2 linked regions of the Oryctolagus cuniculus genome follow. Each later gene encodes a partner of the first gene's protein in a complex. Links are inferred from orthologs where the notes say so. Each region holds a gene or a part of one and is shown on either strand. Other genes may lie near its edges.

Region 1 (3,644 bases):
ATAGAAAGCAGTCAAATGGAAACCAAAAGGACTTTCTCTTTCAGAGTTCCCCTATCTTTATTTGTAGAGGTTATCCAATAATTTCGTTAATTACATCGCATACTTCTGAGTCCATTCCCGAGCTATTCTGTTGTACCTGTACACACAAAGAGAAGCTTAGCTTAACAACAGTGAGATGTCAATTAGTTCACAACAGGTTTCATTCATTATCTTATCTAGTATTGTGAGGGGAATAACCCACAAAATACTCAGGCAAAGCCACTTTTACATCCCAAATTTTTAATAAGCACTTATTCAATAATATAGGACACAGCTAAAAAATGCAAACAATTTGCTGTAAATGCCACTTACAGGATTCTGATTAATTTTAGCATTTGCTGGCATACACCATATTATATATTTGATCGATGTATTTCTAAGAAATAGGTTCAACTCTTGATTCGATTATTTGAGATTCTTGAAAATATGTAATTCTACACTATATGGTTCTTGAAATCATATACTAATAATGTGCCAACGGACGTAATACTTCGCTTTATATCAATAAAACACTGGTTCTGGCAGAACTTAATTTCAACAATTTGTGCTTGACAAAATGAATAGGCATTTTGCTCCAGAAGAACATTTGAGTAGAAAAATACATGAAGAAAAACATTCCGTAATTCCTCTCTTTTTAGAGATGCAGGAAAGTTCTACGGAACATTATTACAATTAATTAGGAAATGCCATTCAAGTCCCCAGCTCTAGACACTGGACTACAGTTCTCCAATCAAAAAACATTTGTGAATAAATCCACAAATAGAAAAAAGTATAATACAATTTTATTCCAAATAAGCACATGGCAGAGAAAAAATTAGGATAATAGATAATACAGAAAAACAAACAAAAACTAAGAACCCATAGCTATTAGAGTTCCCCGTTTGCAAGTGTAGCTTCATTAAAGAAAAATCCTACTGGTGTCTCTCTCTAAGCCAATAGAATTTAAGTACTTCTCTATTCTTTTAACTAAAAAAAAAAAAAAAAGAAAAGAAAAAACTACCAGCCTCTCCCATCTAGTTTTTCTTATAATCTCACTGAATAATACATAACAAAAATGGTTAGAACACTTTTAGTTACTCTCTTTTGATATCCAGACCACTCTTCAATAATTCAGTCTGACTCTAAAACATCTAAATTGTTTGTCACATTTTATTTTTAAAAGAAATGTGGGCTTTCATGTCTAATGGCATTTACTTACTTTTTTCCTTTAGATTATGCCAAATGGTAGAAAATCAATTCCCTTTTCCCATTAATTTACAAATACCTACATAAGAAAATGGGCACTTGACACAAAATGTTTCATGTATCCAAAGCCAAACATACAACATAAAGCTGTTGGAGAATACACTGTAAAAAAGTTTTTCTAGATAGTAGGAGCCTTATGAAAGCAAGATTAAAAACAGTATCATCCACTGATAAAGATACTTGTGCAAATATTCCTTTTTCCTGTCCGTGGGGAAGTTTATTAGGACTTCATTTTAAGAATCTTGTAAGAAAGATTTGAGACAAACATCTCAATCCCACTTTGTACACTTTCTGTCTAGAGGCCATACTTACTTTTCTCTATCTGTTTTGTAGATCCGAGCAATCTCAGGCACTAAAGGATCATCTGGATTGGGATCACACAACAGAGAACAGATGGACAAGAGGACTAGAATGAAACAAATGTATTCATTAGTAGAGGATAAAAGCAAAGGGTGGAGAGAAACATGAGAAGTCATCACCTGAGAAAATTCTGAAAACCTACTATACTTTAGTGCCTAGCAGCTATATAAATTCTGCCTTGCTTGTATAACAGTGGTCAACAAAGAATTTAAAATCTTATACAGATTTCAAGTTGTCACCTAAAAATAAAAATGAAAACAAAAAGAACAAAATTAATGGTAAATGATAAATGACAGGCCGGCGCCGCGGCTCACTAGGCTAATCCTCCGCCTAGCGGCGCCGGCACACCGGGTTCTAGTCCCGGTCGGGGCGCCGGATTCTGTCCCGGTTGCCCCTCTTCCAGGCCAGCCCTCTGCTGTGGCCAGGGAGTGCAGTGGAGGATGGCCCAGGTGCTTGGGCCCTGCACCCCATGGGAGACCAGGAAAAGCACCTGGCTCCTGGCTCCTGCCATCGGATCAGCGCGGTGCGCCGGCCGCAGCGCGCCGGCCGCGGCGGCCATTGGAGGGTGAACCAACGGCAAAGGAAGACCTTTCTCTCTGTCTCTCTCTCTCACTGTCCACTCTGCCTGTCAAAAAAAAAAAAAATAAATAAAAAAAAAAAAATGATAAATGACATCTTGGTCACTCACACAAGAATATAAGACTCTTTGTTCAAAGTCTTATATTCTATGAAGTTAGAAAAGAGAAAGACAAGAAATGTGTGACTAAACTCCCAAGGAAGCCAGCCTAGACAGAAGTGACTGGTCCAAAGTCCTTAACTAGTAACTATAATGTCTTCCAAATATTAAACCAATAACACTTTTGAAAGCTCAATTTTTAGAAGCTCATGTTCAGGGAAAAATGGCTTTCAAAATTACAAATCTAGCCCCACTACTGTATACTCTTAGGTAAAACTGATAATCACAAAATCCAACAATGTTTTCTGTATGGTAGGTAGCACTTTTAGATACAACAGATTTGCTTAGTTTTCAGTTGAAAACAATTTAGTCTAAGCCAAGAACATAAAGGCCATTGGATCAGGCACTGTGATACAGCAGATTAGGCCGCTACTTGGGGTGCCTCCATCAAATATCACAGTGTCAGTCTGAGTCCCAGCTACTCCCTTCCCACACAGATTCCTGCTAATATGCCTGGGAAGGCAGCAACAGATGATCTAAGTACTTGGATCCCTGCCACCCCTATGTGGGAGACCCTGAAGGAGTTGGCCAAGCCCTGGCTTTTGTGGGCATTTGGGGAGTAAACCAGCAGGTGGAAGATCTGTCACTCTTTCAAATAAATAAATTAAAAAAAAATTTTAACAAAAAAGGCCCGTGCTGGAGCCAGCACTGCCATCTGTAGTGCCTGCATTCCGTGAGTGCCTTTCTGAGTCACAGCTGCTCCTCTTCCAATACAGCTCCCTGCTAATGGGCTTTGGTAAAGTAGCAGAGGATGGCCAAGTCCTTGGGCCGCTGTACTCACAAGGCTCCTGGCTTGCAACTGGCCCAGTTCCTGCGGTTGAGGCCATTTGCAGGGGGTGGGGGTGGGGATGGGGGAGTGGACCAATGGATGGAAGCTCACTTGCCCGCGCGCTCTCTCATCCTCAGCCTTTCTGTAACTTTTTTTTTAAAGATTTATTTAATATTTATTTGAAAGGCAGAGTTGGAGAGAGGCAGAGGCAGAGGCAGAGGCAGAGGCAGAGGCAGAGGCAGAGGCAGAGGCAGAGGCAGAGGCAGAGGCAGAGGCAGGCAGAGAGAGAGAGAGGTCTTCCATCTGCTGGTTCATTCTCCAGATGGCCACAATGGCCAGAGCTGGGCTGATATGAAGCCAGAAGCCAGGAGCCAGGAGCCAGGAGCTTCTTCTGGGTCTCCCACACGGGTGCAGGAGCCCAAGGACCTGGGCCATCTCCTACTGCTTTCACAAACCATAGCAGAGAACTGGATTGGTAGTGGAACAGCTGGGACT
Region 2 (3,744 bases), on another chromosome or scaffold:
TTTCTCGTTGCAGATTCTTCAGCTCCTTCTCTGAGCGCCCCAGTTTGGGGATGAACTTCAGGGCCACCACCTGTGAGTGGTAAAGTGACAAGTCAGGGCCTCCCCACGCCACTGAACAGAGCTACAATCTCAGCCTAACTTCAGAACTCCAGAACTCAGACTGCAGATCGTCTGAGTAACTCCATGACACCTGTTAGTCTCCTACCTCCACCTCCCCCACGGATGGCACCCTGGCCTTACCCAGGAGTCCCCCATCCTGGCCCAGGAGGATATATCCTCTGCTCAACAGATGCTTTGGTGGATTCTGGGAGAGGTGTTCCGAGTGCACCGAGTAAACAAATAAATACTATTTTTCGTCTTAATCATACTATGCAGGAAGGGAGAAACCACCTGCACTCTCTTCTTTCCTCTTCATTTTTCTTTCCTCCTTTCCCCCTCTATCTCATCTAAGTCTAGAAAGTAGTGGAGCTGGGATCTGAACCCCAGCAATCCACCTGCAGGGCTCATGCTCCCTAAGATGTAGGAAGGAGAGAGTCCCTTAAGAATACAGGTCGGTATAAATGCATGCCGCTGGCTCTGTTTTCCACTAGAGTTTGGGGTGCCGAATCCCACCCAAAAGACAGCCCTCTTCGTCCACCACCTGAGCACTGTATTTTTTTCGACCCTTGTACACTCTCCCAAAAGAGCCTTCTCCAATCATCTCCAACACGTGGTACTTTTCCATGACAGTGGCTGCAGAGTTTCTCAGAAGGAAGAAGTTAGAGGCGGTGGTTTCGAGCTACGGATCCAGGGACAGTTCGACACATCGGGGAGGCCTGGTTCGGGCAGGGGAGAAGAGGCAACATTAGCCGCCTTGCCTTTTCGCTTTCTCATAATAAAACAGGTCTTAGAAGCACAGGAAGGCAGAGCGGACCAAAAGACCACGAGCTCCTGGCACAACCGGAGCGTCTCCCTGGAGTTCCTTTTCTTCAGCGCCCTGCCGCCCACCCAACATCCCCTCTGCTTCTCACGCCCCCCAGCCTAGCCCACGCGACCCCGCCCCCCTCAAACCAGCCTCGCCCATCGACCCCGCCTTCCAGACTACCCCTGGTTCCCGCCACTCCCAACTTCCTCTGCACCCGCGCCCAGACCCTCGTCCACGCGCTTCGCTGGCGGGGGCCCGCCTCTCACCCCCAGCCGAGGAGCTCGAAGCTCCTCTGGCCGAGGGACGCCGGCGCTGGCCTTCAGCCCCGTCCCGTCTGGCTGCCTGCGTGCTGCGCCTGGCGGAGTTTGCCTCCACTCGCTCCCTAGTCCTGGTCTCTTTAGGCTTCCGTTCTCACCAATTTTACGCGCTAGAACCGGTCACAAGTTCCGAGGACAACGGCGCTCAGAGGTGGTGGGAGGGATGGTGGGCCGTCCATAGGCACCTCCTGGGACACTTCCGAACTGTCTCTCGGCCATCAGGTCCCACTAAGGACCCGGAGTCCGCGGTTGCCTAGAAACGGCCCCGGCTGGCGTCCCCCCGCCCCCGTGGTTTTCCGCCTCCGACTTCCCCAAGGGCACTTCCGGTTCCGGCCGCGGGCCGGAGGCGACATGGCGGCGTCAGCGTCGGCAGCTGCAGGGGAGGAGGACTGGTAACTTCGGGGGCATGGGCTTCGGTTGTCGGCCTGGCTCTGGCCGGGGGCACTCGGGGCGGCCGCAGACCCTCCGTGCGGCGGGCGTGTGGGGGTGGAGCAAGCGAGGAGGGTCGGCGGAGACGCTGACATCTCCTCCTAGGGTTGCTTCTGGACTTGGGCGCGGGAGGTGGAAGGGGCGCCGGTCTGCGAGGAGACAGCGCCGGCCCGGCCAGTTCGGGACGCACGTTCTCCGGTTGGATCCCCTCTGCTATGGCCTCACCCCATCCCGTCCTGTCCTCTGGAAGTGAATGTGCTCAGGGGCCCCGGCGATGCCTGCTCATCAGACCTCCCCACCTCGCCCACCCGGTGCCCTCCACCTTCTGGCCCCCTTGCCCCTTGGATCAGCCTCACTACCGCCCGCGCCTTCCTCAGCCTCCTCTCTCCCCAGCCGATCTAACGAGGGCTGTCCTGTGCGTGAAGCTTCACAACACAGAGAAAGCCCTCCTAGTTCTCTCGAGCATTCTTAACGAGAAGCCGGAACCTCCAAGGACTCTGGGACTTGGAAACAGGATAACGATGTGGGTTCACTCCACATATTAGCTGTGTGGTGCTAACCAGGCCATTTAGCCTCTGTGAGTCAGTGTCCTCAGCTGTTAAAAAAACAAAAAAAGTGGGTGTGGCAGCTGCATCATAGAATGGTTGAGATGATCAGGATGCATTTGTAATATACATAGCCATCTTTGCTTTAATAACTTTTTTAAAAAAGATTGATTTATTTGGAAGGCAGAGTTAGAGAGGCAGATTTTCCATCCACGGGTTTACTCCCCAAATGGCCACAACTGCCAGGGCTGGGCCGATATGAAGCCAGGAGCCCATAGCCTCTTCCGGATCTCCCACGTGGGTGCAGGGGCCCAAGGACTTGGACCATCTTCTGCTGCTCTCCCAGGCGCATTAGCAGGGAACTGGATCAGAAGTGGAGCCGCCGGGACTTGCAGTGGCTTTACCTACTATGCCACAGCGCTGACCCCATATCTCTTGAGATCTGGGCACCTGCAGAAACTAGATGAGCCCAGAAGTGAAGTGATTTGCCAGAAGATACAAAGCTGTGACTGGGAATCCGGGTCTGACTCCAGATCTTCTCATCTTCCCATTTTTTTTCTGTCATCACCTTACCACCATCCCAGCCAGTACCTCCATCCAGGACCCAAGTCGTAGCTTGGTAGGCAGAGTATTGAAGGGCCAGTCTTGACTGAGGCTGCACCTCACTGTACCCTGGTTCAGGGAGCCCAGCCAGTGCTGACCACCTAGATGAGTGGTTTTCAAACTGTTCGGGGGAGCTTGTAGAGACACCTTGAGCCATGGAGAGAGCCGCAGTGACTGTAGCCGATAGCCTGTTGTGGTCTGAGTCCTCCCCAGTCCTGTGTGAGCAACCACTCATTTGTTATCTGTGAGGTGTACAGCTTTGTGTTGTGAAGTTTCTGCCTAAAGCTTTTTATTAAAAAAAAAAAGAACCACTGATAACAACTCCTGCTAGAGGTGCTCCTGGTGGAGAGGGAGCAGCACAGGGAACTGAAGCACGCCTGCTTCTGTGTACGGTCAGCCTCCATGTCCGCAGGTTCCCCATCCACGGATTGAAGCAGCTGCACGCCGGAAGTATTGGGTGGGCTGGAGCGGGACCCTGTACTGACATGTATAAACTTTCTTGTCATTGTTCCCTAAGCAGTACAGTACAACAGTTCGCATATTACTTACATTGTCTTACAGTCTTATAAGTAGGCTAGAGATGATTTAAAGTATGTGGGAGGAGGTTCATAGGATGTATGCAAATACTGTGTCAATTTATACAAGGACTGGAGCATCTGCATTTGGTATCTGTAGAGGGTCATGGAACCAGTCTCCCACAGATACCAAGAGATGCTTATCACCCAGGTACTACTGTGGATAGCAACTAAACATTCGTCGCCAGTGTCATGACAACAGCTGCTTCTGTGTTTAAAACTGTGTGTCCTGTAATTTACACCAGGACCATGGGTCCTCACCTGGACAGGCTGATCTAGATCAACCAGCCAGCCAGGATCATAATTAGATCCGGAGTACTCTGCTAACCACATCCTTCCCTCTTTGCTGTTAAAGGGAAGATTAATGCAAG

Evidence for each region.
Region 2: the proteins of UBE2D2 (region 1) and RNF25 are in contact, whole or in part, in a crystal structure (PDB 5D1K), measured with the Homo sapiens proteins. The link is inferred for Oryctolagus cuniculus from reciprocal best matches to the Homo sapiens genes UBE2D2 and RNF25. Residues at the interface, in NP_003330.1 of Homo sapiens: Leu3, Lys4, Arg5, His7, Lys8, Glu9, Leu10, Asn11, Asp12, Arg15, Ser22, Pro25, Gln34, Thr36, Val49, Phe51, Asp59, Pro61, Phe62, Lys63, Phe69, Thr70, Thr71, Arg72, Ser80, Asn81, Gly82, Gln92, Ser94, Pro95; in NP_071898.2 of Homo sapiens: Val136, Ile137, Cys138, Leu139, Tyr140, Cys161, Arg164, Tyr165, His168, Pro199, Val200, Arg202, Gln220, Met222, Glu223, Leu224, Tyr225, Gln226, Arg238, Leu241, Tyr242, Arg244, Gln245, Arg248, Gly249, Gly250, Ile251, Ile252, Leu254.

The regions. Positions count from the first base shown.
Region 1 is NC_091437.1:27,308,860-27,312,503, reverse strand, and holds part of UBE2D2 (ubiquitin-conjugating enzyme E2 D2), read right to left. Parts: intron 1,691-3,644; coding exon 1,597-1,690; intron 137-1,596; coding exon 91-136; 3' UTR 1-90.
Region 2 is NC_091434.1:20,765,350-20,769,093, forward strand, and holds the start of RNF25 (E3 ubiquitin-protein ligase RNF25), read left to right. Parts: upstream 1-1,399; 5' UTR 1,400-1,572; coding exon 1,573-1,613; intron 1,614-3,744. Other genes in the region: STK36 (serine/threonine-protein kinase 36), read right to left, coding at 1-70, 641-724. UniProt on the Homo sapiens protein: E3 ubiquitin-protein ligase that plays a key role in the RNF14-RNF25 translation quality control pathway, a pathway that takes place when a ribosome has stalled during translation, and which promotes ubiquitination and degradation of translation factors on stalled ribosomes.